Linked DNA regions of Lytechinus pictus. The main gene of each other region encodes a partner of the protein of the gene in region 2 in a complex. Links are inferred from orthologs where the notes say so. Each region holds a gene or a part of one and is shown on either strand. Other genes may lie near its edges.

The links.
Region 1: ribosome quality control complex subunit NEMF-like (region 2) and ribosome quality control complex subunit TCF25-like share a complex: the UniProt entries of both Homo sapiens proteins name them as parts of the ribosome quality control complex. The link is inferred for Lytechinus pictus from reciprocal best matches to the Homo sapiens genes NEMF and TCF25.

Annotation. Positions count from the first base shown.
Region 1 is NC_087246.1:54,853,913-54,871,593, forward strand, and holds the start of ribosome quality control complex subunit TCF25-like, read right to left. Parts: upstream 9,511-17,681; 5' UTR 9,031-9,510; intron 5,066-9,030; 5' UTR 5,056-5,065; coding exon 4,870-5,055; intron 4,413-4,869; coding exon 4,215-4,412; intron 3,626-4,214; coding exon 3,414-3,625; intron 2,775-3,413; coding exon 2,692-2,774; intron 2,495-2,691; coding exon 2,461-2,494; intron 1,821-2,460; coding exon 1,724-1,820; intron 1,126-1,723; coding exon 1,026-1,125; intron 421-1,025; coding exon 234-420; intron 1-233. UniProt on the Homo sapiens protein: Component of the ribosome quality control complex (RQC), a ribosome-associated complex that mediates ubiquitination and extraction of incompletely synthesized nascent chains for proteasomal degradation.
Region 2 is NC_087251.1:8,224,010-8,240,886, reverse strand, and holds the start of ribosome quality control complex subunit NEMF-like, read right to left. Parts: upstream 6,403-16,877; 5' UTR 6,262-6,402; coding exon 6,203-6,261; intron 787-6,202; coding exon 718-786; intron 459-717; coding exon 230-458; intron 1-229. UniProt on the Homo sapiens protein: Key component of the ribosome quality control complex (RQC), a ribosome-associated complex that mediates the extraction of incompletely synthesized nascent chains from stalled ribosomes as well as their ubiquitin-mediated proteasomal degradation.

The DNA.
Region 1 (17,681 bases), on a different chromosome or scaffold from region 2:
TATGAAGGAAATGAAATTCTTTATAAAAAGCACCTTTCAGAGATAAATATCTTCAACCAACATATACAATTTATAATAATATTAAAGGTTTTGGTGTAGTGTATTCGATACAAAACAATTAAGATTTTGACCAACAATATAAATTATTTCATGCTAACAAGTCTACTGTGTAAAAATTACCCTTTTACCTCTATCAGTATTCCAAAACATGTTCATATACAGTTAGTACTCACCCTAATAAGAGTTTGCAGAATTCCAGAGCTGTTCTGTTACAACCTTTCTGACCTAGGCAGGTAAGATGCCTGAATAAAGCAATGAAGAGACCTCTATTTTCAGCATGTCTATAGCTTAACTGACACGTTCCCTCGGCTAAACTAAACAATGTGTGGAAGGCACTCTCGTACACGTACAGTGCTCTTTCTGTATGAAAGAAATATAATCATGAGAAAATCATTCATGAGTAAACTAACACATTTCCTCAGCTAAACTAAACACTATTTGAATTAAGGCACTCTTGTACACATACAGTGCTCTTTCTGTATGAAAGAAATGTAATTATTGAGAAAGTCAGGCATTTATTCATTCGTAAAATTGGAACAGAAACAATGATAAATTTTCTGCAATTAATACTCATGAATGGTTTACACTGATTGCACTTTACATTTATCTTTAAAGATATTTATTTCTGGTTGATTTGATATTATATACAATCTGAAATGATAAAATAAAAATAATAAGAATAACTTCAAATTCAACACCTTACTGTTTTCTCATAGGAAATTAAATACATGAAATGTGTCAAACAAGATTCAATCATATATGTCTTTTTTACTTTGTTCATCTTGCTATATATGTTGTTCTTGAGACTTGAAACTTTAAACTTCTTGAAATAAAATGAAAGAAAAGATTCCCCAGATAAAGAAGTAAAAAAATATTAACTAATTTTACATTCAAAACATTAAATTTGCTGGGTAAGAATCTATGAGGGATTCTGAGGTTTAAAAATGCTAGATTTTTTCGCATACCTATAAGATCTATTGCCATTCCCATATCTTCATTCATCCTAGAGACCTCACTGAGCTGAAGCAAGCTGTCTATATGATATGGGTGTGCATTCATTATGGCCTGTAATTAGAAACCAAAAATATAATTTCCTAAAGTTTTCTAACTCATCAAAGGTGACGTCAACATGCATTTCACATAGTACAAACTTTTTAAATTTAATTGATTGCCGGGCAAAATGTTATTGATAGATATGCCATGTGTTGAGAGACTCTACTTGAAATTATAAACATTGAGGTACAAAATATGTCACTGAAGAATCCATTATTTTACTAGTGACTACAAACAGTGTTTTATATTTAAGTTTCAAATAAACATTCCACTTGCAATAATAGTTTGACGGATACTTGACTGCACATACCGGTAGTCCAAATTTATGTCTCCTCCATTGCAAAATCTAAAATACAATAGACAGTTTACTTCTAAATATAAAAAAACTTTATGATCTAATCAGATTTTGTCTCCCATAGGACTTTATGAACCACGATTAATTCTAATCAGTCTACTGAATCTAACAGTTATTGTGGAAGGTAAAGAGCCTATGAAATTGTGACCCCAAGGCCCCATTCTACAGATAAGAGACATTTGAAAGACCAAGAGCCAAAATGAGTGAAAATGTCTGACCAATCAATCCATAAAATGTTCCGTTTCTAGATCTCACCATAATATTAGCTGGATTCATGGTTTCTACTGCATCCAAGAAATCAAACTGGACATTCTGATAATCCTTAGAATGTTCATATTCAAATATGTGATATCTGTATTTACAAAAAAAAGTTTATACATGGAAAAATAAGGATCATGTAATTTGAATACATCAACAACTATAAAAATTACACAGACTTTGAATTTAAAGGAGTTCTGAAGTCCAAGCACTCAAGCAACAGTGAATCTCTGGCAATAGGCTAATGTGCATTACATATATTAGGACAATTTTGATGCAATAACTGTTTGTTTAAAAAACAGAAATATACTATTAATTTTTGGGGAAAATATACAATAATTATTTGATTTTCTTTGAAGAACAGGAATGTTTTGTAGTACACTATAAACACCATGATGTAAAGAGAAATGTAAACTTTTTTTGTTCTTGTGGGTTTGCATTTAAAGACTACATGATCAAAATATTGCATTCTGTGTTAAGATCCAAGAACTATGTGAGCAATTGAAGGTCTTGAGTTGGTGCTGCTCAAAGGGGCTGAGGCATAGTGTCTTTAAACATCAACCACAAAAGTCAACCAACATTTAAACATTTGAATAAGCAAACATCTATTAGTGGTTCAACTCGTTACAAAATAAACCGATACAAGCTAATAAACGTTCATAATCATCAACCCTAAAATATAATTATTGTGACAAAAAAGAGAGAATTAAATCACAACTTCAACAAATGCTTACCTTCCCTCTGTAGTGATGTGTATCATTGATAAACCTGTCAAAACAAAATGAAAAAGAAAAATGAACTAATTTCTATCCTAAGGTAAGAACATAAATATTTTCAAAAGAAATATTGTCATGGGCAAGAGTAAAAATTCAAATGTTGAAACATTAAGTGCAAAACATCAAATTTTCCATTTGGATATCACAATAAATTCAGAAGACATTATGTTCTATGATACTTTAATTTACCTGTTTTTGTCATTTTAGGCCATGATTGCTTAGCTGTTACTAGCCAGGTTGATTTCTGGTACTGCCGGTTTCTCCCTCTCTGCCTGCATAAAACAAAGAAATATCATTTTGACAATCAAATGAATCATCGTAGCTTACAAGAGATCTCACTTTGACATATGCATAATCATGAAAATGCATTGTTTTTAATGGGAGTTAGACACTTTGTGAAAGCTTAGATGGAAAAAAATATGAAATTGTTTGTGGGCTTGTGGCAGACAATGATGTTAAGATATGTAGAAATAAAACCAGAAATATGAAGGTTTTATATCCAAATATCTATGATTGAATAGTGCCATTCATGAAATAGAACTGTGGTACTTTCATATATAACATTGCAAATGATGAAAAAAAAAAATCTGGCAATCATAGTCACTCGTGCTTGATTTTTTTGTATAGATATATGATTTATTGAAAAATATACAAGAGATATAACAAAAATATAACATATCAATTAAAAAATCTTTAGAATGTGTTGCTTAAAATAAATACATGTATCATGCCATAGGATCTCTTAAAATTGTTGTGAATATCAAACAAGAGGCTATTGAAAGGGTTTGAATTATGTAGGGCTTCAAATAAAAAAGACTCGTGCATGACTTTAAGTCACACATAACTTTTGTAAAACACCTTCCAAAATTCTTAAAGTGGAACCAAAAATATATACATGTATGTTGATTTACCTTTGTTCGTTTCTAATGACACTGGCTCCAAATATTCTTCTCAACTCATTCTCTGGGTTGAGATGTTTATGTTCAATAGCTAATAATGGTTTGGAATTTGTCAGCCTGGAACCTTGCTCCATTGATGATGATGATGGTGCATTGGTGGAAAGAGGGGGACTTGTCTTCAAGATCTCATTGACTTCTCGAATACTCGCATCGATTTCATCTTCCTGTGAAATCATAACAAATACAAATGTACAAGACCGTTTACTCTAAGTAATACATTTGATAATCCATTTCCTATATAGATATGGACTACTTGCTTTCATTGTAATATAATAAAGTACATCCAAAGATAAGAAGTTGCAGTTTTGTACAGAATTTAGAGATGGCGTCACAGTCATACGAAAAATGATAATTACACGACAATTTTGTTCAAAATATCTCATACTGCTTAACATTTATTCAGGATTTCAACTTTTGATCTCAAGACAAAAAGAAAAAAAAACTTTAAAAAATTTGGCTATCCACTGCCGCCTGTATCAACCACATGACCAGATTTGACCTAACATAACGATCAATGATCGGGTCATAGACATATCAATACAGATGAAATTTGAAGATGGTTTTTTAACATTTGTTCAGAGCAACACACAAAAACCCTAAACTTTTTATTTTACGAACATATATAAATATATTGCATTATAAAAAAAATACCAAAAGTGTAAGAATAAAAAACGATGACAGGAAAATGAGCAATTACACTTGAAAAGCATGAACTGCAGTGCAAACAAAGGAACAATTATTTCCAACACTCACATCATCTGCTTGTCCACTGCTGGTTCCTCCCTTCTGCTTTTTCTTCTTCTTTTTCTTTTTCTTTTTGGGTTTCACTTCCGTTGTAGTTTGAACATCCAGTCCATTTTGAAGTCCTTCTGTAGTTTTATCAGTTTTCTCATTCTCATCTAATTCAGCATCTTCTTCACCATCTGACTGGGCATCCTCTATATCATTCAACTATTTCAAAATACAGAATTTATGTTATCAAGGAGCAAATCTTTTAATTTGAGAAAGGTCTCACATGCAGTGATTCAAGAGCCAAGATATCATTCTCACAGTCACTTTACAAATATGTTGATATTGCCATTGCACGAAAATAGTTTTGAAATTTACTGAGCCTTAGAACTGCCCTCTTTACAGTGATTGAACTCCAACTTGATTTTTTTTCACAGCTCTCAATCATATCTTGAATGAGTGGCAAATTTGAGAATATTTTTCAAAATTTACATAAATAACACCTTTTTGACGGTTAAGTCAGTAAACATAAACAAAGTACGGTACATGTACCTCTTAATAATACCACGTTTTATTTGTCTGTTTCAGATAGGATGATTTCTTCCTCTTTTTTATCATCCACCTTAACAAATTAATTCTTTGTAAGAAAGATAAAGACAAAGAAAATATTCATACCTACCAACTCAAATGGATTTACGACTTTCTTCTTTTTCTTCCCCTTGGGTTTCTTAGGTCTTACAACATCATCTGCTGCTACTTGAACTTCCACATCATCTTCTATCTCCTCTTCCTCATCATTGGCCACTTCATCCTTGAGCACAATGTCAGGTTCATTACATAATTTTCTCATAGCACGTGACGACATCTTGTAAATGCTGAAATTGTGAAAATACATGTATGTTTACTTTAAAGTTGTGAAAGTACATTGGCTAATTACCAGTTTCAGTTTCCAAGATAAAGAAAGAAGTGAAAGATACATTCGTGCACCCATTTTGATTCAGGCCTGATTTTTTTTCATGTTTCATTTTCCTCTTGTGTCTGGGTACAGGGTGGACCGGTTTCTGAATTCTGCAATGGTTGAAATGGTAAAAAGCAATCAGCGCGATTGTAATAAAAGAAAACAGGCAATGAAAACAAACTTTTGTACCTCTGAAATTAATACGGAGACACATATTTCAAGATTTATTCAATTAAAAATTATGAGTTAAAATTGTGAGAAAAAAATGAAGTACATGTCCCCCTCTCCAGTCCATCATCAAAATCCTGGAAGTGTGCAAATGTGAGGTACCATAATAATTTATGTTTTTCAATCTAAAATTTAAAGACAAGCAGCAGTGATAGTCATAAATTGCTTTATTAGATGAGACTTTGGATATGTGTAGGGTCTCTTTTGGAGCACTGCAGAACATTCGAATTTGTTACATTTGTCAGAGGTTTTTAAAAAAGAAAATATAATTATAGAAGCGTCGTGGTGTAGCGGTTCTGACTCTCGCCTTGTAATCAGAGGGTCGTGTGTTCGAATCCCACCATGGCCTCACGTCCTTTGGCAAGGCGTTAATCCACACTTTGCCACTCTCCACCCAGGTGTTAAATGGGTACCCGGTAGGATGTGAAAGCCTACATGTATATGTAGTATGCCTAGCAATTGAGTCTTGGAACTCTTGTTGGAATGCTCCCCAGGGAGTGGAGAAGGTGCATACATTGTATGCGGGCATGCAAGGATCCGATGACCGGGGTAATGATATGTCTGTAAAGCGCTTAGAGACGTCGTTCCGATGTATTAAGCGCTATATAAATGTGGAATATTATTATTATGCAGAATATGAATTATAAGGAACAGTATCCATAAACTTTTGTAGAATATTAGAGAAATTCAGGTTTATTCTTGCCCAAAGATCCTTCCCTGATAGGAACAAACTCCCAGACAAAGATTGAAGAAGTGGTTACACTTCGTAATTCCGAAGGTTCTTTATTCCGAAGGCTCATAATTCCGAAACACGTAAATTGCCTATTTAATATACCTCGATGTTCGTTAATCCGAAAATGTAAAAGGGTTCGTTAATCCGAACATTTGTGGCGTTATTCCGAAGGTTCGTTATTCCGAAGGTTCGATAATCCAAAAACGAAATAAGGTTCGATGTTCCAAAGGTTCGTTAATCCGAAAACGAAATAAGGTTCGTTGTTCCGAAGGTTCGTTAATCCGAAAACAAAATAAGGTTTGTTGTTCCGAAGGTTCGTTAGTCCGAAAACGAAATATGGCTCGTTAATCATTTAGTTTTCGGACTAACGAACCTTCGGAATTACGAACCTCATTTCGTTTTCGGATTAACGAACCTTCGGAATTACGAACCTTCGGAAAAACGAACCTTCGGAATAACGAACCTTCGGAATATACGAACCTTCGGAATAACGAAGCTTCGGAATTACGAATGTATGCGGAAGAAGTAGTCTCATGTCAATTTGACATGCACCACTTGGTCACTGCAACCATCCTGCCTGTGGGGAATCTACAGGTAGGACTATGGGGTATGCCTATGCAATACACAACACACACTTTGAAAAATCATTAAGATATCACTTTTGTGACCAAAAATATTAATTTCCATACATTTGCAATTTGTTTTTCATCAGTATTTTGGGAATAATTTCTGTATTCACCAGAGCGCTAAAAAATGTTGGGCATATTTTTGTGTACGTCCTCTATTGGTGGAAATTAATATGGCAAGAAAATTATCGTTTTTCAATCTCTGTCTTTAATTTAGAGATAAAATAATTAAAAGAATCAAAATTACTTAAGAGCCAAGTTATATGATAAAAAGCTGTAATGGAAACTGACAATGTCAAAAAATCAAGCATTTGTCCAAAAGAAAAAGAGAAAATATGCCAAACCTTGCCAACCTTATTATTTTGCCACACATGGAGTAGTAACAGAGAATGAGGTTATATCAGATTCATAACCTTGTTCATTGAATGAGTGACATGCACTGATAAGTATGTATCTCTCGCTTTTCTAGTACTTTCACACGACCACAGATGCAAAACTATTCCTCTCACCTCATCCAGTGCATGCAATATTTCAAGTTTGATTTTACTTTGTGATAGGATGCAGATCCCTTTGAAAATTACAAGAGAAGAAGAATCTCAAATCAAATTTTTGGTGCATACATACACATATATGGCAGTGTATCCTATTGCCGGACACCTTTATTTCAATGCTTTAAAAATTACAACTAGAGGAAATACAATCAAGAAAAATTCGCACTTGCTATTCCAAATATTATGAAAATTATGAATATGATAAAATTATTTTACATTTACCAACCGTTACCTTTGCATCGCACTTGCCTCATACCCCTCCGCGAAAAACAATTATTTTTGTGCACGGCAAATTACATCATGATTCCGGACGCGCGCCGGACGGGTAAAGATATTCTTGATTGTAATGATGTAAGAAAGAATTTATATGATATTTTCTTCATATATGTTATCATGAGTAAATTTTAAGTTTTCGTTTGCTTTTTTATATCGAATGTGAGCAGATGTTGGTAATAAATTTGTGTTTGCTATTTTTTTTTCTTTTTTACTGCATGTTCCATGGCACTTTCCAATATTATGCTCGTTCATATCGTATGACGCTCATCAAGTTCTATCGATGCGCTGTCGATCGTCGACGGCTCTAATCACGGTAAACCTCGCGCACGGGTACCTTAAAGGAGAATGAAACCCTTGAAACCAGCTGAATCCATATCAAAGAGAAAAATCAAAGAAACATATTGTTGAAAGTTTGAGGAAGATTGAATGAATGATAAGAAAGTTATGAGCATTTGAATATTGAGATCACTAGTGCCATGTAGATCCTCCCATCGGCAATGCGACCAAGATCTGTGATATCACACACGTACAACTCCCTCATTACTTTAGTACTTATTTCACGTATATTCTCACTTTTATAGAGTCTATCACAAGGTGAGGTGTTCTCTTTATGAGATGACAAGTACAGAGGTTTCACAACATTATATCATTGATGAATCGTTTGTCATATGATTAGAATGAGCAAAAAGATGTTTTGGGGTATATTTTCAGTGTCCAAATGGGAGAGTTGTACGTGTGTGACATCACAGATCTTGGTCGCATTGCCAATAGGAGGATCTCCATAGCATTAGTGATCTCGACATTCAAATGCTCATAACTCTTTTATTGCTAGTCCTATTTTACTCAAAGTTTTGTTGATCTTATTCTTTGATTTTTCTGCTTTCACAAAAGCTAACTTGCTCCAAGAGTTTCATTCTCCTTTAATTGAGAACTAGCCGTCGATGCACCCACAATACACCAGGCTCAACATTCGATCGAAGGAGCGGACGAGATTGAAATTCGGCAAATCATCAAATCAGGCCCATATTTCCATCAGAACATAATTTGATTGTTAATGCAAAACTATGTTATATGATATTTTAAGCATTTTCTGTAATTTAAAAGATAAATAATGTAGTTTTTTTTTGCCTTGTTTTTTATTCTTGTTCTATGACTATGTATTGCCTATTGGATTGCTCTGTGAAATTTAACTGCGAAAGTCATGCAGTTTGAAAATGAAATTGTTTTCGTACGCAGTAATATGCGCGTCCAGAATCATAATAGTGTCCGGTCATACAATTACAATACGTGACTATAGTCTATAGTCTATACCTCCACACGCGTTTAACAATGTCAATGTTACTAACTACACTATAGTACACTACACAATCCGAGCCATGTGGGACCGAAGTAAAGAAACAACGAACTAAACACATCAAATCGTTGGAATAATCGAACAAAACCTTTCAAAATATTAATCATCACCTACTTTGCACACAACTGGTCGTTCTCAATGTACTGGTATCCAAGAAAAGTACTTAATAATTCTGCCTTTTGACCATCTAAACAGGCAGTCTCAATGTGACGATAATGGTCTTCTCACGACGAGGCCGACCGTTTCACGAGGACGAGCGTCCACGAGGCCGAGGCCGCGCGAGGGTCCATGAGGCCGAGGGTCTGCGGGCCGACTTTTCTTATCATACCGAGGTTATACCTGACTGCTAAGAAAGCACGAAGGCCTGTGAGCAAGTACCCAGGGGAGTGAGGGGACCAACGGCTTAAGGTCCTCTCCGAGTAACCTGGTAATGAGGATAAATGCCTTACCAAAGGCAAAGGGCACTATAGGTTATAGCGCACAATTTGGAATCGAACCCGGGTCACCGGAATCCGAAACCCCCGCTCTACCGACTGAGCTATATTTTCTTTAATCAGGATGTTTGTCTTCATCGATATTAATCAACTGAGTCGCAAATAATTAATAGGCAATAGCGAAAGTTATTTCAAGACCGCAAGTTCAAGGCATGCTATATATGATGAAGACTTTTTAAATGAAAATTTCATTAGTTTAATGACAAATCCAGATTGAAACATTCGGCATTGTCTCAAATAATCTAAATTCTAATCTTTAGATTATAATCTAAGTCCAGAATTTGACAGTTCAAATGTCATTTTTATAATAAGTTTCTGATCGTTCTGGACAATATGGTATATTTGACTTTATCAATTTCCAAATCTTGCTGTTTTCAAATGAAATAATTAAAATCTACATTCCAAGAAAAGAAACACAAGTGAGAAATAATAACAATATAACAAAATGTTTAAAACTCAAGTTTCAGATTTTTACAATGAATAAACGGCTGAAAAGAGACTCACCAGCTACATTAATGATGGGTGAGATATACTCGAGCATAAATCATGTTGTCCCGATTTACCAAACCTTTACATTATAAGATTATATTTAAGTTTTCAATAGAGAATATGCTAAGCTGAAACTTTTCCACTGATTGAAAAAAAAAATCCTAGTGAAAGAAAATACACTTTAAAAATCGGCCTCGCGGACCCTCGGCCTCATGGGCTTGCCCCGGGGCAAATAATGCTCAACTTAGTTCCAGTTCTAGCTTTATGTTTGGTAATACCGGTACATGAAATGCATGCGAGACAACTTTTAAAAGGTATGGTAATATGTTTAAAGAAAGTTCACACAACCAAATGGTAGAGTAGATGCTTCTGTTCTGAATTTGGTGAAACCACTGGCGTAAATCCCGGGGGGATGGGGGGGGGGGGGATATATCCACCCCCCCCCCCACTTTTCGAGGAGGGGGGGATGGCCTGGCCTGTACAAACATCCCCCCCCCCCACTTTTTACGAAAGAAATGAAAAAAAATCACAAGAGATAATTGTTTTATTGGTGAAAATTCTTCCTATAATACCGCTTAACAAATAAAATAATATTATTGAATCATAAAATGCAAATAAAGAGCCAGTTCACCATTTCCAAACGAAATACTTATGTCCTTATTATAACATTGAAGAGAAACCCCCGTTTCTTCCAATTCATCAATGTTGGGGTCTTCGGGAAGGGATTAAGATGGAATGTCAAAAAATTTTGAATGTAATCTCTAATAAAACCATTAAACCATCATGGGGTAAAAAAGATAATAATATTGGAGGGGTATTTGCCATATGGACATACAGTGGCGTAACTACGGGGGGCATGGGGGGCACATCCCCCCATCGGCTGTCCAAAAAAAAAGGGGGAAAGGAGAAAAGAGGGAGAGAAACGTATTGGGAAAGAAGAAAATATTATTCATTATAATGTTATATCATATTATAATTATGTTATGTTACATTACATAAGAAACATTTTTATCATAACTTTATGAAACATAATTTGCCCAGCGCCTACGTCTTCATTGTTCCTGGTGCTCGCATTGTCTGTTTAACGAAATATATAATCCTGTTGTACTAAAACATCCCGTTTTCAAGTCAATATAAACCAAATATATTTCCTAGCACTTGAGTTATCATTGTTTTATGTAGTGACATATGCTTCTTTTTCATGACTCAAAAAGTGATTGCCCCATGTTAAGGTCTTATATGAAACATTTCCTGTCCGTGATTACGTTCGCATTAGTGGATTGGTGAGATATATGTCTGCTCTTCATAAATTCCTAAAATCAGTCCTTAAAATGTCCCTTCTTCTGATCTGAATATAAAAATTTTTTTCAGCTCGCGCTTCGCGCTCGCATCGTTTGGTTAATGAAATACGTATGGTCCTAGTTAATTCCTACAAAGAAACCTTAGAATGCCCCACTTCAGGTCTGAATTATCTAAGTTTTCAGCTCGCGCTTCGCGTTCGCATTGTTTAGCGAGACAGGTTCCTATCATGATTACACAAATTTGATTATAATGTCCCTTTTTAGGTGTGAATATAAAAAAAATTCAGCTCGCGCTTCGTGCTCGCATTATTTGATCAGTGAGATACATATCCGTTTAATGACATTGTCCTTAAAATGTCTATATTAGGTCAGTATAACTGGCAACTGAGCGCGCTTCGCGCCCTCACTAGCGCACTCACTCAGTGATTCAAAAATTTTGCTGGTGCCCCCCCCCCCAATGCCGTGACCCACTGTGGACATATCAATGACAATTTCTTGCATATCTAAAAACATGTTCACAAAAAAATGCCAAAATATTTCAGTCATCCCCCCCCACCCATCAACACGGATTTACGCCATTGGGTGAAACCATAGTGTGGAACAGATCAACAAAAGAAAACAACTTCCCGGAGCACTCTCACTTACATATATAGTAACAGTTTGACAACCATATGATTCAAGTTCAAGTTTATTTATTTAAAAAAACACATTATTATCAAAATAAATATAAATACAATGCATATGAATACATAAACACGTATCAATTAGATTATAGCATAGGCGAATAGGATCGACCCCTTTAGAAGCAAGGCTTGTGAGCGGGGGCCTAGAATATAGGCCGACTTAACACGATCTACATAATACATAAGCGAGTGAGAAAAAAGTTGATGTTAGCCTATGCTAAACTAGAATATAAACTATATAAACTTCGCTCTCGATTTTTTGAAACTGGCAAAAAAAAAAATCGTGTCCGCCTCAGTGCCCCCCCCCCCGAAAAATGTTCCTTTATTTGCCCCCCATGTTAAAAAATCCTGGTGTTGCCACTGAGCACAACAACAAAACAATTCTTTCCGACAGTATGTAATGTGCAATCTTTGTACACGATAACTTTAGAAATAGCGCCCCTTTTATATATTATGTTGTAAATTGATGTCATGATTGGATTTTAAGAGGTAAACTGTAAGTTGTTTATATCAATGTTAGATAAAAATATATAGTCTCAGACAATATTTTTTTAATTTCATTTCGTTTATTTCCATTTTTAACAAATACAGTGTCCAATACAATGTCAAAACCTTGACAAGCAAAAACGACAATGAAGGTATATTACGTGTAATCTTCATACACGATTACTTTCTAAATAGCGCCCCTGCATATTGAGTCAGCTCTCAGCAGGTCGGTGTCACAATCTGATTTAAGATTCACGATTTTACCCAATCTAGGCTAAGAATTGCCAGAAGCGGATCTAGAGGGAGGGTTGGGGGGGTTGCAACCCCCCCCCAAAAAAAAAAAAAAAAATCCGGGGACCATTTTTTTAAATCTTATCTTTTTTTTTAAACTTGTAATTTTATTTTATTCTATTTCTACAGTGCGTCCCAAAAAAAACTATACACTTTTGAAATGGCTGCCAAATAAAAAATATATCACTTTGGGGGGAAACACTTACATACATGGAAGCCTATAAAGTCAACTTTAAAATGACACCAAAAAGTTGGAAAACTTTTCATGCTTGAGCGAGCACTGCCCACTGAAACAAAGGGTATGAAAATTAGGGTGGGCAGGAATTAGCCTTCCAATTTCTTTCAGTTTTTGAGATGCGAGTCCCTTGGAACTTGCAAAGTTTTGATAAATCAATGATCAAGCATTATCAATTTAGGTTTTTAGAGCAAATTTTAAGAATTATTAAATTGAAATTTAATGTATGAGTGAACATGAAATACAATTTTTCACTTTTTAAGTGGATCTCAGCAATGTGTTCATGGAAGTCAGAATAGGGATAGGACTTAGGTGGGGGAAGTAGGTTGACGGGATATGGGTCAACAGAACACTTAACCCCCCCTCTCTCTCTCTCTACCCCTTTCACCCCTCCTGAGAGACTAGCCTTTGCTAGGGTGAGCAGGAATTAGCCTTAATTCCATTTTTTTAGAGGTGAGTCCTTTGGAACTTGCAAAGTTAAGGGTGTTATGCTAAATTACTGATAAATGGAGATCAGTTTTGGTTTCTTAAGCAAATTTCACGAGTTACTAAATTGAAATGTAATGCATGAGTAAACAGGAATTGTAATTTTAGTGTAGCATTTTTCGTTTGTTATGTGGATCTTAGCAAGTGTGCTTGTGAGAGTCAGAGTAATGTGATGGTACCTGTTACATGCAAGGGGATGAGATAGGGTAAGACTGGGTTAAAGGGGCATTCTTCTTTGTGTTCTCTTACAAATTACGTGTCATGTACTCACCCCCGCCCTCCACCCCTTTCTTTCTCTTGGTTGGTATTTAAAACTTAAAATGCCAAGTGACTGATGGTTGATGGGTCTTTTTTTTCCATTGAATGATTTATTAAGAACTTGGCTAATTATGATGATTTATAAAATGATTTATTGAAAAAGCTGAATGTTTGATTAATAATTTATTGAAAAAGGTGAATATTTGATTGATCACATTGATTGAGTTTATTTACTAACAGATTGTTGATTGAATGAATGATAGATAAAAGTTGATGATCTAATTTTTAGAATTTATTATCAAATTGACAGTCCGCTTTGCACTTAATGCGTACATGTAATAGCAATCAGTCTCAATCTCAACAGGAGGGGGGAGGGACGGACCTGTAGGAGGGAGGCTAAACGTTCTGTTGACCCTTTTCCCATCAGCTTACTTCACCCACTGAAGTCATTTCTTACCCCTATTCTCCTGACTTCAATGAACACACTGCTGAGACCCACATTGTAAAGTTAAAATGCTTCACTAAAGATTGCAATTCATGCTCACTCATGCATGGAATTTCAATTTGATAATTCATGAAATTTGCTCTAACAATTTAAAAAGATAATGAATGACCATCAATTCATCAGAACACCCTCAAGTTTGCAAGTTCCAAGGGACTCGCCTCTCAAAAACTGAAAGAAACCGAAAGGCTAATTCCTGCCCACCCTAATTTTCATACCCTTTGTTTAAGCGGGTAGTGCTCACTCAAGCATGAATAGTTTTCCAACATTTTGGTGTCATTTGAAAGATGACTTTATAAGCTTTCCATATATATAAGTCTTTCCCCCCAAAGTGATATACTTTTTATTTGGCAGCCATTTCAAAAGTGTATAGTTTTTTTTGGGACGCACTGTATGTATTTATTTCATTTATTATTATTATTATTATTATTATTATTATTATTTCTTTTTGGGGGAGGGGGGTTGGGCGAACAAATGTCACAGAGTCCCCCCCCCCCCATCAGCTTTTTTTGAGGACACGGGCCACCGCCGAAGTGACATTAAAAAAAAATTTAAAAAAATTGGGGGATTGTTGAAGTCTTTGGGGATGAAAAATAAATATTTGGGAATGAAAATAATATTGAGTTTTATGAAAAACGAATTTGGGGATTTTCTGTCAAAATTTGGCAACTTTGGGGATATTTTAAGTGTCGTTTGGGTGGGGATTTTGTTCATAATAAAAGTATTAGGCTAACAGTGCTTATTCCAAGGTCCCCAATTCTTTGTATCTGTGTTGTTAACTGGCCTTACATTGCAGGAAAATGCAACTTAATTTTACAAATTTTCATGGGGGTTAATTTGGCAACGACCTCTATACCAAAAAGAGTGGTGTTTTAGATGCAAGAAAACGCCATTTTCACACACAGATTTTCAAAAATTTTCCCTACTGTGGGAGGGGGGACACCCCCCTCCCACACCCTCCCCCCTCGCTCGCTCCGCTCGCTTGGACTCGGTCGCTACGCTCCCTCGCATACCACCCCAACCCCCCCCTTTATAAAAAGCTGGATCCGCCCCTGATTGCCGCTAGACATCTGAGCTTACGAAATGTAACGAATCTCGGCCCGGGCTGGGATGTAGGGGGTAAGCTCCCGAGAGGGAGCTTTGAAGGGCGAACAAAAAACAAAAGAGAAAGGGAAGATGGGGAAGAAATTAATGTTATAGGATGAGTTTTTACCCCCACCTCTCTCATTTCGAATAAAAGAATGGAAGGATGGAAACAATAAAAGAAAGAAGATGCACTCTTGAAAAAGGATTGGTCAAAATATCCAATGTTTTGATGATTTTTTTTTTGTTCGATCGACAAAAATGGTCAGAATCTATTAGTTCGTTGGTGAAAATTTACCGAAATTTTGGTTGATATTGACAATTTTTTTTCGGTCGGACACATGCAAGTCATATTCAGCAACAGATTGGTTACGTTGACCAATCCTTTTAAACCTGTTGACTGCTGAATTATGTAAAGTCCCATATGTTTTATACAGGGACTACCCGCTTCTAGTAGGAAAGAGGTTAAGATTGTACATGTGAGCGTATAAAAACAATATCAATAAGAATACTGAGTTATTGTAATTAGGCCTATATAGTATAGGCCTCTGTCTACACTCTTAAAACAAATCAGTCAAATTGACTAGACCAGTAGTCAGCTGGGTGCAACTGATATGACAATCACTGATAATCACATTTCTGACATAATTATATTAGAAATAACTCTGTTCTAGTAAATCATGACTAGAAAATAGTCAAATATTACTAGAATAACAGTTGCGCCCAGCTGACCCTATTAACTAGTCATTTTTGACTGATTTGTTTTGAGAGTGTATATAATTTCCATTGCAGAAAATGAAGTCCCATGAAGTCACCTTGCCCCTTCCTGTGATTCCCCCTTACAAAATCAACCTGGACCACTTCAATGTCAATATAGGCCTATACGACTTGCTCTACATATCCACCCCCTCTCTTACTCTCTCTATCTCGCTCTCAAACCCATCCAAATGCACTATCTCTCACGCCCTATACTCTCCCCTTCAAAAACTAAAAAAACACCTCTCTATACTGCTCTGACAGCGTTCCTTTAAATAAAACATCGCTATAAATCACGTTGCTAAAAAAAGATCGCTATGATTTTGTTGTTGTCCTCTTCATTCCCTATGTTGGCAAACTCCTGTTACGTGATTGTGCATCCTTTATTCTATTCTATGTGGTCTTTCTAAGTTGTTATTACACTTCATCCCATCAGTATATACGATCATAATCATTATTATCACCATCATCACCATCCTCACATCATCGTCGTCGTTATCATCATTATCATCATTATCATATTGATATGTTTTGCTTTATAAACGAGTTTTCACTGTAATAATATTATCATCATCGTCACTTCCACAAATATCATTTTCATTATCACCTATATACCATGGTTCAATTAAGTATAAATGAACATCAATCATAATCAACAGCATTAGTACGATAATCGCCTTCGTCTTCGCCACCACCACCACCATCATCATTATCATCATCATCCCCTTCATCATCATCATCATCATCATCCCCTTCATCACCATCCCCATCATCATCATCGTCGTCATCATCATCGTCATCATCATCATCATCATCCCCTTTATCATTATCATCACCATCATCATCATCGTCACAATCGTCATCATCATCATCTCATCACCATTATTATCATCGTCATCGTCGTCGTCATCATCATCATCATCATCACATCATCATCATCGTCGTCATCATCATCATCATCATCATCACATCATCATCATCATCACTACCATCATGACCATCCTGGGCCGTAATATAAATGTCAAAATAATTCATTAGGCCTTTGCTATACATGCATCTGTGCATGTAAGAACACACTTCACAATCCTGGAATTTATGTTTTCACATAAAATTTCCTTTCTTTCTCTTTCTCTGGTTCTGCATAAGACGCTGTCAAAATACCTAAAGGTTAACCTTATCTTTTACTCCATCTCTGTGTAGCATTTCAATCTTTGCCCATACTTGTTTTGCAGTAACAAGTGTGAGTGAATTTGAGCCGTTATTTCAACCAAGGCAATCTCAGTTCGCCCCATCGTGCATGTGCTTAGCATACTCATGGGATAGTTCGATCGCTCCCGCCATTTCAGCCAAGCCGCCAAATAAGAATCAGCATGCGCATGTTGTCTGCAATTGATTCACGAAATACATTTTTGTCTTCAGTAGCTAGAGGAAAGGGCTCTGAAAGTATTATAGTGTTGAAGAGTAGACCTGTTCAATTCTGATATAGTTATATAGGTATAAAGATAATGGTAATTTAAGGTATGATTTGAAATAAATGGTGATGATGAAATATTATAATCTTCTGAAACGTAGTTATATGGATAATAGACCTTGTTTGCAGACTTATCTATTAAATGTTAACGCATGCACTGTAAAAAATATTGGGTAAAATTTTTACCACCACGAGGGTAATTATGTGTCCAACCAATTCTGGGCAGTATT
Region 2 (16,877 bases):
AATTTGACCCTATCATCCTCATGGACACACATGTGGTATTACCCAAGGATCATATGTACCAAGTATGAACTTGATGCAGAAATAAAGAAATGAGAGTAAGTTGAACAAAAATTATAACATTTTTGCAAAAGACTAACAGGCAAAATTAATCACTAAGTCTCTGCCGAACTTTGTTCAGGCAAGACAAAAAGCATACCAGGGTTGACTTGCCCCTTAATTTTAAGCTTACCCTGTCATAAAGTTCAACAATAACATGATAAGCAGCTTCATCAGATCCAAACTGCAAGTCAACAACCCTGTCAACACCTAGCTGCTTGATCTCTACTAAACGTCTAGATTTCAAGTGCTTTCTCAACTTCATGGAAAAGTTTGATGGCATCTGGCTCTTGGGCCAATCAAACGAAGTGGTGTGCATCCGAGTTCCAGACTCAAATAGAAGGACCACTTTCTGGTCCGTCCTGGAAAAGAAATTGACAAAATAACAAACTAGTGAAGACAAGTTTGAGATGAGAACTTTGGGATTTATCCGCAAACATTTGCCAGCAGTACATACGGCTTGTTGTACATCCTGCTATATAGCCAATAGCATAGATTCATCACAATTTGGAAATCCCTTCTCTGATTTATTATAATTTCTACCAGAGGATACACTGATCAGAAATGCAAGCTGGGCATTATATTAACTTATTTGTAAATTTAACTCATTTATACACTTACCCTCCAAGTCGAATCAGGTATGTCTTGTTATTTACATCATAGACATTAAGAACACGAAGTCCAAGCAATCTGCATGATAAAATAGAAAAGGGAAAAAATTTAAATCTTCTTAAACCTCGGGGAGGGAGGGGAAGGGGGCATCACCTTTGTGCTGTTAGTGTCGTCAGCAGGGCAGTGTCCCACACATGTGAATGGAGAGAAGGTTAACTAAGTAAGAAACAAGGCATAAGCGATTTTGTGTCTCGCCCACTTATGAAAATAACCAGAAATATCGTGATTTGCTAGGGCACGCAACAGGATTGTATCGAAACTTCATTGTGAAATGACTGGGATGGAATAACACTTGTCATAAGAGTCTTGCACATAAACTTTAATGTTGACCTCAAAATGAACTTTGACCATACCATGTGACCTCCCAACACAATAACATGCAGATCCCCTACATACATCTACCATCCAAGTTTGTTTAAAAAGTGATTTATGGTTGCACAGTTATGTGTCATAAGAGAGTCTGGAAGGAAAACTTTAACGTTGACCTGAAAATGACCATTGACCTTACTATATGACCTGCGACTGCAGCATAACATGCAGGTCTCCTAACTACATCGACACTCCTAGTTTGGGTGAAAAGTGACTTGCACTTGCGGATTTAGGTGTCATAAGAGAGTCTTGCATGTAAACTTTTATCGTTGACCTGAAAATGACCTTTGACCTTACCATGTGACCTCCAACTGCAGCATTACATGCAGGTCCCCCGAGTCCATCTACCACCTGAGTTTGGTTGAAAAGTGACTTACGGTTGCGGAGTTAGGTGTCCAGTCCTTCACGTTTATAATTTTGTGGAGCTCAATAAATCGCTCTCCTTATTTTTTCAAGTTCAATTGAGCTTTTCAGAATCGCTCTCCTTGAGGAGCTCAAATCAATTTAATTCAATACATATGCTTAATTGTAGATTTTTCTTAAAATTGTAAATGCAATAGCTGTGTAGCTATCATGTAATCTGTGGTGAAACTAGGCCTGAGCCATTACGTTTACAAAATATAGCACCCCTGCTTTAAATGATTACTAAAATTTCACATTATACATAATACATCTTTAAATCCATGAAATGGCCATCTACTTTCCATAATTCCTTGAAATTATTTTGATTTAGTTGAAAACTATCAGGAAAATGAAGAATATTCATCTCTTTCTTGACTCTGATTGATGATGTTACAACCGACTGCAGCATAACATGCAGGTCCCCCAAGTCCATCTACCATCCAAGTTTGGTTGAATAGTGACTTACGGTTGCAGAGTTGTGTCATAAGGTTTGTTACGGACGGATGACATTTGGATCTCTAAGTCTCGTCTACACCTCTGGTGGGCGAGACAAAAAAGGAAGAAGAGTATATCTACCCATATGATGTGTGTGTGTGATTGCGATTTTAGAAACAGATATCAATCAGATATGACTAGGAGGCCTATGTATGATGATCTCAATAATATGTGGTGGATATGTCCCTCTGAGAAGACCCACAATTTTACACTCAATTTTCTGTTCCAATGCATAGCAATTTTCTCTTCCTGAGCAAAATATGAAACATTGTTCTATAGCATAATTTTTATCTTTTCTTGTTGTTGCTCTGGCCACTTCACTCTGTTCCAAAGAGCATTTCCTTTTTATGTGGTGAAATTGGCTCACACACTTTAAAGCCCATAGAAGCTGAGCAGTATAAAAAAAAGTTCACCTTTTTCTGCTTCCAGCAAGTCAGAGCAGCAGTGAATGCTTCTTGCCCACTCATAAATGTGCATACATACCACTGCGCAAGCAAACACCAGTAAAGAGACCAGTTTTCAATCCATTTTCACAAACAATTGTAGTTTCAAAGGTAGCAATGCAACACTGGCCTCAAAACTAGATCTTGCTGTCCAACATCACAAAAATTCCCTACTGAGGCATTTCTACTTGCCTTTATTTCAGAACTAAATCATACATGTAGTTTTTAAGACACTTAATGGAAAACAATATGGTAGTATAACTTACAATTTTCTTTGTTTCAATGTTTGTGAGTCGATCAAAGGCCATTAAAAAATAAAACAAACAGGCCAGCGAAAAAATACACGGGAGCGCATAGCGATTTCGCTCTTGTAAATTTTGAAATCGCACTTGCAAACCCAATAGAGAGAGCGATCGGGGAAAATAAAATCGCTCCCGTGATCTTGTGTACAGTAACTAGCTCGGCCATACTTCTGCTGTCTTCCCTTCGTGCGTGGGTTATAACGTGCACGTAATGTACCATTCACATCAAATTCACATTCACAAAGCTCAGCGCAGTGAGCGCACTAGTACGGTACTTACGGTAGATGAAAAAATGGCAGCCGTGTGTTGCTGCCCTCTACGTTCAATGAGGTGTGCTTTTATCAATGCTTTCCGATTAGAATTTTCGATATCCTGGCGAATCAATGCGAGCGACCTAGAATTTCACTTTCCTATATTTTATATGAATTATGAAAGGTATTCTTGGAGGATCTATTTTCTCTCTAGTGAATACAAAAATTATTCCCAAGTTACTAATGGAAAATAAATTGCAACTGTATGGAAATTAGTAATTTTGGTCACAAAAGTGATATTTTAAAGGGGAATCCAGCCTTGGCTATAAATGGTTGTGTTGGGAAGGAGAAAAATAAATTAAACAGAATGGCGAAAGTTTGAAAGAAATCGGACAAGCAATAAGAAAGTTATGGCTGCTTTAAAATTGAGATCACTAATAGTATGTAGATTTCAAATTGGCAACTGGGTAAGTAAATTATGACAAGGGGCAAGGACAACTTTCCCATAGGCCATGTACTTAATTATCAGGGATTTGTGGTTTTCTCCTAAGTACCCATTCCCCTGGGGCAGTAATCTTAACATAATCCAGGTAGTATATTGTTTTATGTCCTCATGAAAGAAAAATATAATTTGAAATAAAACTTTTGAGAAAAATGACATTTTAGCCATAATATGTATTGGAGTACATGGAAGAGTAGTCCTTGCCTTACATCACTATGACATCCCATATGCGGCCAATCTGAAGTCTCCATGGGTATAGTGATTACCAATATTTACAACTTTTAAAAATTCATAACTTTCTTGTTGTTTGTCCAATATTGTTCAAACTTTCACCTATCAACTTGTCTCATTTTTCTTTTTCACATAAAAACAAGTTTTTATTTGGGTTAGATTCCCCTTTAATGATTTTTTAAAGTGTGTGCTCTGTACAGCATTTGCATGCCATAGTCCTACCTGTAGATTCCCCACAGGCAGGATGGTTGCAGTGAACAAGTGTGTACGCCCTTTATTGGTGGAAAGTAATATGGCAAAAAAAAATTCATTTTTCAATCTCTATTTTTAATTAAGAAAAAATAACTTAAAGAATCAAATTTACATAAGAGCCAAGTTATATGATGAATAGCTGTATTGGAAACTGACAGTGTAAAAAAATCAAGCATTTGTCCCATAGAAAAAGAAAAAATAAGCCAAAATTGCCACCCTTATTTAAATTATTTTGCCACACATGTATGGAGATGTAACTGACAACAAGGTTATATCATAACCTTGTTCATTGAATGAGTGAATACAAGTGTGCTATTCTCTATCACCTCGTACCAAAATCGACCTAGAATTTCACTTTCCTATATTTTATATGAATTATGAAAGGTATTCTTGGAGGATCTATTTTCTCACCGATACCGTACAGGTAAGTGAATTTCGATTACTTCTTGCTTTTCGGTCAAAATCTTGCGGATTAGCGTCGATATGGCATCGTGTTCGTTGGAGTTTGTAGAGTCTATCGCAACGTGTACAAAGTCAATTGATTTCCGGGTTTCGGAGCGTCACGTGAATATGCATGAAATTGCAGAGTCTCGATAATTTTTGATCGATACTGGAGCGATCCGATCACGAACCAAGACCATTTCCCGTGTAGACAAGGTGACCGGATATCGTTATCGCTATCGATACTTTCGCACGCAGTCCGAAGGAATTATTTTGGCGACCACGTAGTCATGACGTGATCTGCGCAATTGGCCAATCAGCGATCTCCGATTCGCTGAGCCGAGATGGTCTATCCGTTGTACAGTCTATAGATGAAGGTGGGCTGCAGTGGTATACCGTATGCACGTAGTAAGTGCGTAAATATAACCTTTTACTGCCCTGCGATGATTTGGAACTTGTAATTTCGTGATGGAGAGTAAGTATAGGGTGTCTGAAGCCACACTGAAAAGTGTCAGCATAAGAGAGGCTGATTTAGGGGAAAATGTGGCACATTTTTTTCGGGAAGTTCAGGCTACTAGAAAAATGTGATCTGAATTGATTATTAACTTGTGTTTGGCATGTATGGAAAGAGAAAATTCAGGGGCTTCTTTTGACAGTAAGGACAAGTTTATATGATCATTTTAAATAAGGATTTAGAGATAAATTGCAAACCCTTATTTTTGTGTGTGTTGAGATTGCCATTTCCCCATGCGTTTTCTATGAGAAAATGAAATTTCTGTTTTGCACAATTTTTGTCACTTTGTCACAATTTTTCATTGTGATCTGGTTTCCAAATCTTTATAAAAATCATACCATCAGAAAGAGCATAAAAAATCCTATTGGACTCTTTATGGACAAGTTTTTGGCATTAATAATAAATTTATAACAGCTCTCGGAAGCTAAAAATTTGGATTTGTGTGTGTCCATTTCTTAACTACACAGTCTATGGCAGAGAAATGCTGAAAATTGACCTAATTTCATTCTTCTTTTTTGCAGCCAATAATCGGATTTTTTTCAAAAATGTTACATTTCTGTCAGTCTGAAGGTCATTTCTCTTCAAATTCACAAAGAAAATGTGATGTTTTCTTGAAATAAGAAAAATAATATTTTTCTCCAGACACCCTAGTAAGTAATGATTTTTTTTTTTAATAATGAAATTTTCATGCGGGCAGTTTTAGAGCATGCGGGCGGTGGACGCAAATCTAAAGCTTTCATTCTCTTGGCCTAAATATTTTTTTACAGAACAAAATCTGCAGATTTTCCCTTGTTGTAAATTCGATTCTGGAATATCTCTGTCAAAGAGTGTCAATATTTAATTATATCAGACAATGAGTTGATTGAAGCACCATAATTTTCTTATTCCAAAAGCTTTCCAATGATATCAAATTTGTTGGGATTCAAAAGTTCAAGATTTCAAAAAGTCACCGAACTCCCTAATTGGAAGAAGGCAAGCAAGTGCAAAACGAAGACGGTCGCCGCCAGGTGCGCCGCAGCGGCCCGGCTTGGGCCTGGGTGGTACGGTATTCTCGTTCGGACCGTAGAGTCCCGCTAGCCGCTACGGTACCGTACCGGTACCGGTACGTGTAGCGCCACATTCACACACCACACGAAGTCACGACACGCACAGCACAAACTTTAAATTATTACAAAATGCACACGTTTTCAAAATTATATTTTTACAAATACCAAGAGTTTAAGGACACTTACTTAGATCCAAGTTCGTAAAGTATTGCCCGAAGGTCAATAGTTGTAAATCTGGACTTCATTTTTGAAATATTCTGAATGAAGTATCTGTTCCCAATTGCAAAGATACAGCGTTTCTAAAATGTCAAATGAAAAAAGAATTATTCGACTTTGCCATCGTGCCATGGCGCTGGCGCTGGCAGAATGGCGCCTTGCTGATGACTGACACATAAAAGTCCCAGGCCACGGCACCAAAGCTCTTGAGCAAGGCGTTTAATCAACTTTACTCTTTTATCTTACACTATGATTTTATGATTAAGTAAATGGAAATACTGCATGACCCTATAAGTTTGATAAAATATCAAATAAATGCACATGTATATATTCCAGCAACTCCTGGAAAAAATTAGATTGATCGGTTGAGTCATGCATGAGTAATCAAAGATTTAATTAAAAATGACAATTTTTTAAAAGTCACAAGAGTCGTTTTTCAGATTGTGTAGTTGGGCTAACAAGTGTTTTTTGGTGAAATTTATGGTGCTAATGCTGTTTTATTAACCATCATTTAGCCACTCCACACAAATTTTGATAACGTATGTTCATGGTTGAGTGAGTAAAATTTTTTGTGACGTATCATCATAGGGGTTTATGGTAGTATCCTCTATAACTAAAAAAATATGTTAAAATAGGAAAATGGTAGTGGCTTAAATCCCTCCCCCAACTTACAAAGTTACAAATTGATGCAGAGGTTCGAGTCCCGGTCACGTCTATCGGTCCCAGACGTAAATAATCATATCTGATCATTGATTCACGTCTGACAAAAGTCAAATACACGCACGCGTACAAAATGTCTATGGGAGAGGAAATCAAAATTTTAACAAAAGTAAAATGAGGGTTTGTTTCATGGACGGTTTTTGTTACTTCTGCCACTAATTGAACAGTTTTTCCATAAACTTATTACAGCACATGGTTTCAGAGGGAAACTATATATCCAGAAGGCGCCAACACCAAAATAATCATTCGATACGGCACATAGTGGGGCCAAGGCCTTGAACTTTGTTCTTATTTACATAATTTTCTAATATTGCGTGCTCACTGAAGCATTAGACATCGGGATTTTCATAAAAATCAAATCAAATGAAGTATGCAAGGAGGTTTGTGACAGATAGCAATTTTTTTCCAATAACGTAAAAAAAGAGCTAATCACATTCCACATGTTCATTCAAGCGTGAATGTTTAATCAAACGCCTTCGAATCAGTGTAGCATGTTAATTGGTCATAAACATAACGAAAAAAGTTGATAAGATAATTTCAGTTCCCAAAATGAAACAATACTTGCCTATGTATTTGAAAATCTTATTTTTGTTTTCATTAAATGTTTATTGAACCGTGAAAGGATGAACATTGTTGAAGATACTCTTCCTCAAAATGAATGTCATCACATTTGATCATTTTCATCGACAGAAATATGTTTTAAAAAAAATCAATTTATAGCAAATTTTAACTTATGTTTATTCAATCTTGAATTTTTTTTAAATAGTTGAATCGTATTTTAGAAAATAGCTTTTAAAAGTCTTCTGACGATATGTCATGATGAGAATATGGAATTCGTTCAAACAAAATGGAATGATATGATATTTGGCTTGTGATTTTTTAAAAGTGACAATTTTGCCTTCAGGCGGTGCTCATTGAAGCATGACAAGTAATACGTCCGTAACATTCACTCAGTGCACGCATGTGTAGCTTATAAAATTACATAAACATTACCTACACACATATACAAATATATACATATATATCAACTTTAACAAAGATTGCATTGTGTTATTGAAATGCCAATTTCTTTACTTTCTCGCCATATACGTTTATTCGTAATTCCTATATTTATTGTGCATGGTTTCACGAAGTCAAATTTGTTGGCCGCATAGACATGTTCAGAGGCGTTGATCGTGAGAGGGCAGGGGTCTCCTCCATGACAACAATTGCCAATTGAACCTACTCCAATTTAATTTTGATGAATTGGTCAATTTACTATATGCAATGCGAATGTACGCTTCAAAAAGCATTGGAAAGCACTATAAATCCATTAAACCCAGCATACTCATTAAACAGCATACAGCTTCTTTTTACATTTTTTTTTCACTCTGCCCCCCCCCCCCCCATCCGAAACAGGGATCGACATCCCTGAATGTGTTGGTAGATAAAAAATAATGATCAAATATACAAAAGAAGGATTACATGTTCAGATAATATACACTGTTTTTCAACACGGTCTTGTTGACATAAAAATCAACGTACAGAAAATGCATAAAATACCTTGATTAAAGAAAAAAGAGTGAGTAAACCAAAAGGCATGAAAATACTTGTGCATGGGTGATAAATTCGGATTGAAAATACAATCTGGCATAGAAATATAGGATGGATAGCCGAAAGAACATTAAGAGAAAGTGATTTTCTTATAAATTATTTTTAAATTATCAACAGAATTTGAATTTTGTAGATCCGAAGGTAAATAATTGTTCCATATACAGGGCTGTCGCTAAAAAGGGGGAGGGGTGCGACAAACCCCCCCCCCCCCTCCCAACTTATTTGGATATCTAAATCAGCGCTGCCGTCGGGAAAAATGGGGGAGGGAAAGAAGAGGAAGAGAAAAAAAAAGAAAGGAAAAGAAAGAAAGAAAGGGACAACGAGGAAGAGGAAAACAAAAGGAAGGAGAAAACTCAAAGAGAGAAGAAATGGGGTAGACATGCAAGGTTTTGATTAGGTAAACCTGTGTGTCGGTGTAATCAAAGATGCGGAGTCTGAGATGTTAATTGGAAAAAATATAAATTGTCTGTTACGCAAGCGCAGGGCAGATGGACTGACGCTTGTCGGGAAAATGACAAACTGTCGGGTCACGCAGGGCTGTTCTAGCTGCGCCATGTACCTTGTTCTATACTTGGTCTTTGAGTTCCATTATCTTTGTCGGTAAAATAATGTCAAATTGCATACTATTATCGTATTTTTTAAATTTTCTTTTTGCAATGCTGTCGTGGAGAGCTCTCTGTAGGCTATATACCGACAATCATTTTTTTTTGCCTCCAATTAGAGGATTTATTTACACCATCGCAACATAACACATTATAAAAATGAATATACATGAGATGACATGACATTTTGAAAAATTATATCGATACAAAATAGTTATGCAATCATCCAATAATCTTACATGAGTTATAACATATTGAAGACATAAAGTGATAACAAAAGATTTACTGAGTTTCATACGTATTCGGTAATTTCTCTGGGTAAAAAAACATATCTTTTTCTGTACCGAGCTTTCATTTCTACTCTATACTTTCTATTTCTCTTAAGAATATAAATTTCAGACTACCTCTCTTTTCTTTTCCGGATATGTTTCTTGAAACAATGACTTTGTGAATGCACCAAAGTGCAATGGTCAGAAGTAAAACCAAATTTTCGTCTACTTCATGTTTAAACATAATTTTATAATTGATTTCTAAATCTTTATGAAATAATCTTTTAGTCAGTTCTTTCAAATATTCAAAAAAATGATTTATTGAAATCACAAGAAATGAAAGCGTGGTGGATATCTTCGAAGTTTAAAATTAAATTCGCGTAACTTGCACTCTTGAACTTGATTTAGATTACGTTTAAAAGTAACTTCCCAATCAAAATGAGTTCCTTTCTTATTTTCCCAGTAAATACAACACGTATTGGTGTGCATGTAATCGGGACAAAGCAGTTTAGATAAGATTTTGCTACTACATTCACTGATACATTTATCTTTATCTCCAATAATCAAAAGTGGTATTTGTAAATGTGGAGCTAATTGTTTTGGCTGAGTATAGGGAGTCGAAGTGTTCCAGATTTTGGGTATCGATTTCCTTAATTTAGAGTAATCATACATTACATTACATTTTTCTTTTCTAGTTTTAAGCCTTAAAGCAATGTTTTCTGTGGAGAGAAAATTTCCATCACAAATTACATCCTTTATAGGTTAGACCACTTTCATACCATCCTCTAAAAAATAGAGTGTTTTTGTTGTATGTAATATTTTCGTTATACCAAAGAATTTGTTTCAGCTTGTTACTTTCCGTTGCATATATTTCCTTTTTAGTTTAGGGGAGTGCTTGACCTGATTCTCACCCAGGCTTGTAAAATTTGTCCGTAAAATAGCGGTACACGCGATTTGACAACTTTCTTACCGACAATCATTAGAAATTACGATTTAAGGTATGTTATAATATTTTCAAACATCACTTGAAAGCAAAGCTTCTTCTTCGATATAATAAAACAAACTGAAATTGCTATTTATTGGCATGCTCTATTGCATTTTTGTCCACAGAGCTTATTATCCAGATGTTTCTTAAATTCTGTTGGATGGCAGCTGCTTACTTTATTTATTTTGTTTTTTTATTTCTTCGTTTCTTTCTTTCTTTGTTTTTTGTCACGTTTCTGTGTTGTGTTGTTTTTGTGGGTGTAATTTAATTGATAAAATGTTGTCACGTGTATTATTACTAAGTAGTAATATCAAAAGTAATGTATAAAAAAGGGAACCTTATCTACAAGCATTCTGCTTCTAAGGTTTCCTCCACTTTTCCGTTTTTTATGTACTTAAACATGAATTAATATGTAGTGATTAAGAATGCTTGCTATCTATACTTATAGTCTACGTGTGTAATGGTTGCTCAGCTTAGTTATGTCAGTTAAGTTATCAAAGTTTTGTAACATAACGGATTTGTGGAAATAAAACCTAAATGAAAAAATGAAATGAAAGGTCTAAATCTAAAAAAAATTCAGCTCGCGCTTCGCATCATATATTTAGTAAAATTTTGCTGAAAATGTTGCTTAAATTTCCCTAAGAATATCAAAAATTTCGCGCTCGCATTAACATACACAGATTGTTATATTTGATATGCAAATCTGAGTTTGTTCTTTGTATGAAAAAGTGTGAAAATCTTAAGTTTTCAAGTCAAAACATCAAAAGTTCTCAGCTCGCGCTTCTGTACCGACAGTGATAAGAATGTCTCGGTTTAAAGTCTAAATCTCAACAACAAAAAATCACATCATATATTTCGTGAAAATGTTGCCTAAATTTCACTCAGGAATATCAACAATTTCCGCTCGCACTTCGCGCTCACATTGAGATACACAGATTGTTGAATTTCATATGCATATATCTGAGTTTGTTATTTTTATTTAAAAAAAAGTAAGAAAATGTTAAGCTTTCAAGTCAAAACATCAAAAGTTCTCAGCTCGCACTTCTGTACCGACAGTGATAAGAATGTCCCGGTTTAAAGTCTAAATCTCAATAAAAAATCGCATCATAATTAGTAAAATTGTTGCCTAAACTTCCGCTCGCATTGAGATACACAGATTGTTAAATTGCATATCTGAGTAATTTGTTCTTTATATAAAAAAGCTTGTGAAAATATCAAGTTTTTAAGTCAAAACATCAAAAGTTCTCAGCTCGCGCTTCTGTACCGACAGTGAAAAGAACGTCCCTGTTTAAAGTCTAAATCTCAACGAAATTTTCAGCTCGCGCTTCGCGCTCGCATCATATATTTAGTGAGATCAATATTCTCTGCACAATTTTCCTTCATTTTGATGTTAGACAGTGCTTAAACTTTCCCTTTCGGATCAGTACTCAGTACTATACCAAAAATTTTAGCTCGCGCTTTGTAATCGCATTATGTTTATTAAGATACAGAACTTGTTCAATTACATATGCGGAATCTAATAAGTTTGTTCTTTGTACAAAAACGTTTTCAAGTCAAAGTATCGAGTGTTGTCAGCTCGTCCTTCTGTACCGACATTGAACCATTTTCCTTCATTCATGTTTGACAGTGCTTAAAATGTTCCCTTTCGGGTCAGTAAATCAAAATTACAGCTCATGCTTCGCGCTCGCATCATGTTTATTGAGATACACAGCTAAACTGAGTTTGCTTCAATGTAAAAACATGTAAAAATGTTAAGTTTTCAAGTAAAAATATCCCAAAATTTTCAACTGCGCTGGCATTATATGAGTTTGTTTAATTACAGATGCAGAAACTGAATTTGTTTCAATGTAAAAACATGTATAGTTTAGTTTTCAAGTAAAAAATAACCAAAATATTCAACTCGCGCTTCGCGCTGGCATTAATGTTTGTCGAGATACACAGCTTGTTCAATTACAGATACAGAAACTGAGTTTGTTTTAATGTAGAAACATGTAAAAATGTTTGGTTTTCAAGTCAAAATATTCCAAAATTTTCAACTGCGCTGATATTATATTTATTGAGCCACACAGCTTGTTCAATTACAGATGCAGAAACTGAGTTTGTTTTAATGTAGAAACATGTAAAAATGTTTGGTTTTTAAGTCAAACTGTCCAAAATTTTCAGTTCGCGCTTTGCGCTCGCATTAATGTTAATTGAGATACACAGCTTGTTCAATTACAGATGAAAAAACTGAGTTTGGTTTAATGTAAAAACATGTTTATTTTGTTTTCAAGTAAAAATATCCCAAAATTTTCAGCTCGCGCTTCGCGCTCCCATTATTACAGAAACTGCATAGAATGTCTGATTTCGAAAAGAAGTTTGATTAGATAACCATCGTGTTCATGATTGCAAAAAGTGTTGAAAATGTAAGTTTGTCAGGTTGTAAAAAAAAATTATTTCACGCTCACGACAGTTGCTTAGTTCTATGCCGACATTCTTCATGGTTACATTGCTTCGAATGTTTTATTTTTAGTTCTAAATCTGAAGAAAACTTCAGCTCGCGCTTTGCGCTTCTTTACTGTATTCTTTATTGAAAATATGTTTAACCAGTCCAGTTTTCAGGTCCAATATCTAAAAAACAAATCGGCTCACACTCGGTCTATTTGATTAGTGAGGAATGTATTATATTCATGAGTCACTGCAAACATGAACATGTACTTTTTCAGAAAGGTTAATAAAAATTATTAGCTCTCACTCACATGAATTGCTATATATGCATAATATTCATGCAAAAATTAAGTGCTAACAATGTCCAGTATTCTGGTCGGATATCAAAATTTCAGCTCGCGCTTCGCACTCGCTTCAATAGTTTGGTTAATATATCCACCCTCTTCATGATTACATTCGAGTTCTCAGGTCGGAATATAAACCTTTTGGGATTGGGGAGATCAAATGTATTATTTCATGTATCACTGCGAATAGACATTAACAGGTCTTTTTGCTGGCCAGTATATCAAAATTTTCAGCTCGCCGCTCGCATGGATCGTTAAGTTAGATACCCCCATGATGATTACAAAAGCTGCTCACAATGTTAAATTTTCAGGGCTAAATATATTAAATTTAAAAAAATGAGCTCGCACTTCGCGCTCGTGTGGTAATTTGTATTCAGGCCACATGCGATACCTTATATGTTGCTTCTAAAAATGAAAATTTAGTAATGACTGACCCCTAAAAAAAAAAAAAAAAAAATCAGATTTTGGCGGCCGCGACGGGAAATATAATGTGACTTAGAAGAATGTAGAACACTTCCAAGATTCATGGTTGCCGGACGTCAGTAATCGCTACCGATATTTGTCGGTAATCAGGGCCTGCACCCACCCCCCCTGGAAAAGGCCTAGCGACGCCCCTGGTTCCATATGCTTCCTCTTGCATGCACATGTGATTGTCGTAGGCTATTCTTAAACATCAATGCTTGTTTTGGGTGCTACAACATTTAGTGAATTGGCATATCTTGTTTTCATTGCACCATCTTGAATTAAATAAACGTACCGGAACATATCCATGGATACAATTAAACATAATACAAGCAAGGAAATAATTACGTCTTTAAAAAAAACACCTGCCATTTCAATCTTTTGATAATATCAATGCCATTGTCAGTATTAAGTTTTAGGCAAAGGTAAACTTTATTTCCAAATCAATTTTAACTATTTGATAAAAACATGTAATCACAAATTAATAGTAATGTACAATAATAGGTTTTGAAAAGACAGCAGAAAGCATAACAAAAGTACAATTTAACAACAACAAAAAATGCAGCGTATTAATGGAAAATGGTGAATGAGAAAGCCAAGGTATAATATACACCAAAGGGAGAATAACCAAAGAATTGAAAACAACTACCCACTGGGCATTTTACCCGATATTACCCGGGTTGTAACAGGTAATAACGTAGTTATTACCACGGTAACACCAGTGGGTAGTAACGGGGAAATAGTAGACCAATCTTTCCCCGTTATTACCCGGACCCGATATTACTCAATTTACCCAATATTACCCAGTATGATGTAACCGATATTTCCAGTTATTTTAATGATATCACCACCTCATATTACTCTGTTTACCCAATATTACCCAATTAATGTCGGCTCATTAAAAAAACAATTAGTGTCATTAGGGTCATTGAAGCACATTTTTACAACTCCATACTCTAAGCCATATCATCTTATCCTATCCTAAAATCCTACATCCTAATCCTAATCCTATCCTACACCTATCCACCAAACCCTGTCATTTACTTATATATATTGAGCGAGTTTACAACACTTGACAAATTATGGTTAACAATTATTCAACCCTAAAACATTTTTCTAAAATTAATGTCATGATTATGACTAATAAAATATATTTATAAACTACACATTTTTCTGAAAATTTTCTGGGTGGAATAATTGCATAAACATAAACACATTAATTATTACAGCTATATTAGCTAAAATTTTGGCCATTTATTGTAGTAATGAATATTCATGAGTAACTAATATTCCCAGCATTTTCCTGATATTACCATCTGATATTACTCCATTTACCCAATATTAATGGGTTCCGCATGGGTTGGAGGTCTCGTTTCCATCTGAGTCCTATCTGGGCACCAGTGGCGTACCGTGGGTCACGGCATTGGGGGGGCACCAGCAAAAAAATTAAGTCACTTAGTGAGCGCGCGAAGCGCGCTCAGTTGTCAGGTACACTGACCTAATAGAGACATTTTGAGGAAGCACTTGTAGTCATTGTAATCATGAATAACATACGCATCTCAGCAATCAAATAATGCGAGCGCGAAGCGCGAGCTGAAAATTTTTGATATTCAGACCTAAAAAGGGACTTAACAATCGAATTTTTGTGATCATGATACGTACCTGTCTCGCTAAACAATGCGAGCGCGAAGCGCGAGCCGAAAATTTTTGTATATATTGATCACAAACAGGGAGATCTTAAGGACTATATTTTAGGAATCTCTTAATATTATACATATCTCACCATAGTCATCTAATGCGAGTGCCAAGTGCTTGCTGATTGTGTTAGAATCACATCTGAACACATGAAGCACTTTTTGTAGTCAATGTAATCATGATTATCATACGCATCTCACTAATCAAATATTGCGAGCGCGAAGCGCGAGCTGAAAATTTAGATAATTCAGACCTGAAGCGGGGCAGTCTAAGGCTTGTTTGTAGGAATTCACGAAGACCATACGTATTTCACTAACCAAATGATGCGAGCGCGAAGCGCGAGCTGAAAATTTTGGATATTTAGATCAGAAAAAGGGATATTTCAAGGACTGATTTTAGGAATTCATGGAGAGCAGACATATCTCACCAATCCACTGAAGCGAACGTAATCACGGACAGGAAATGTTTTATATTAAGACCTTAACATGGGGCAATCACTTTAAGTAGTCATGAAAAAGAACCATATGTCACTATATAAAACAATAATATATTTGATGTATATTGACTTGAAAACGGGAGGTTTTCGTACAACAGGTTTATATATCTCTTTAAACAGACAATGCGTGCACCAGGAACAGTGAAGACATGGACCCTGAGCAAATTATGTTTCATAAAGTTATGATAAAAATGTTTCCTATGTAAAATAACAACATGATTGTAATACAATATACAATTATAATGAATAATAATTTCTTCTTTCCCACTACGTTCCTCTTCCTTTCTCCCTCTTTTTCTCCTTTTCCCCGTTTTTTTTTTTTGTGTCAGCCGATTGGGGGGGGCACGTGCCCCCCCCCCATGCCCCCCCCCCCGTAGTTACGCCACTGCTGGGCACCATGTGGGTTCAAGTATATGTTTTCATCTGGGTTCCATGTGGGCCCATATGGGACCCAGATATCCCAGATAAGAACCGTATGTGATCCAGATACTTTGCTGTCTGGGAATGGAAGCGTTTCAACATTACCCATTACCCCTTATCAACCTGTTTGTAACTGGGTAAAATGTTGGTTTCATCAGGGTGATAACAGTAATTTTTTGGACTTTGAAAATTTCGCTGGGATTGCTGTAAGATTGCTCTTATTACTAAAGTTTGCAATGTTATAACCAATCAAAGTCATTCAACATTACCCTTATTACCCCTCATCACCCTGTTGTAACTATAGGTAAATGTAGGTTTCATCAGGGTGATAATTACAGTAACAGGTATCAACAGGAATTATAATTTCGGTAATAACATGGTAATAACGGTAATATTTGGTGTTACTCAAATTTCCGGGTGATATTACCGGTAATAACCGGTAAAATTGGTAATCGGTAACAAATTGCCCAGTGGGTATATATATAGTAATAACATTAAATGACAAAAAAATACACACAAACATACAAACACAAGGGGGTAAAGAGGAGTATTTATACTTCTCTTATAATATAATCAAAGTTCTTTTCCGGGTTCTTTTCAACTATTCTAGCTGCTCTCTTCAAAATATTCCT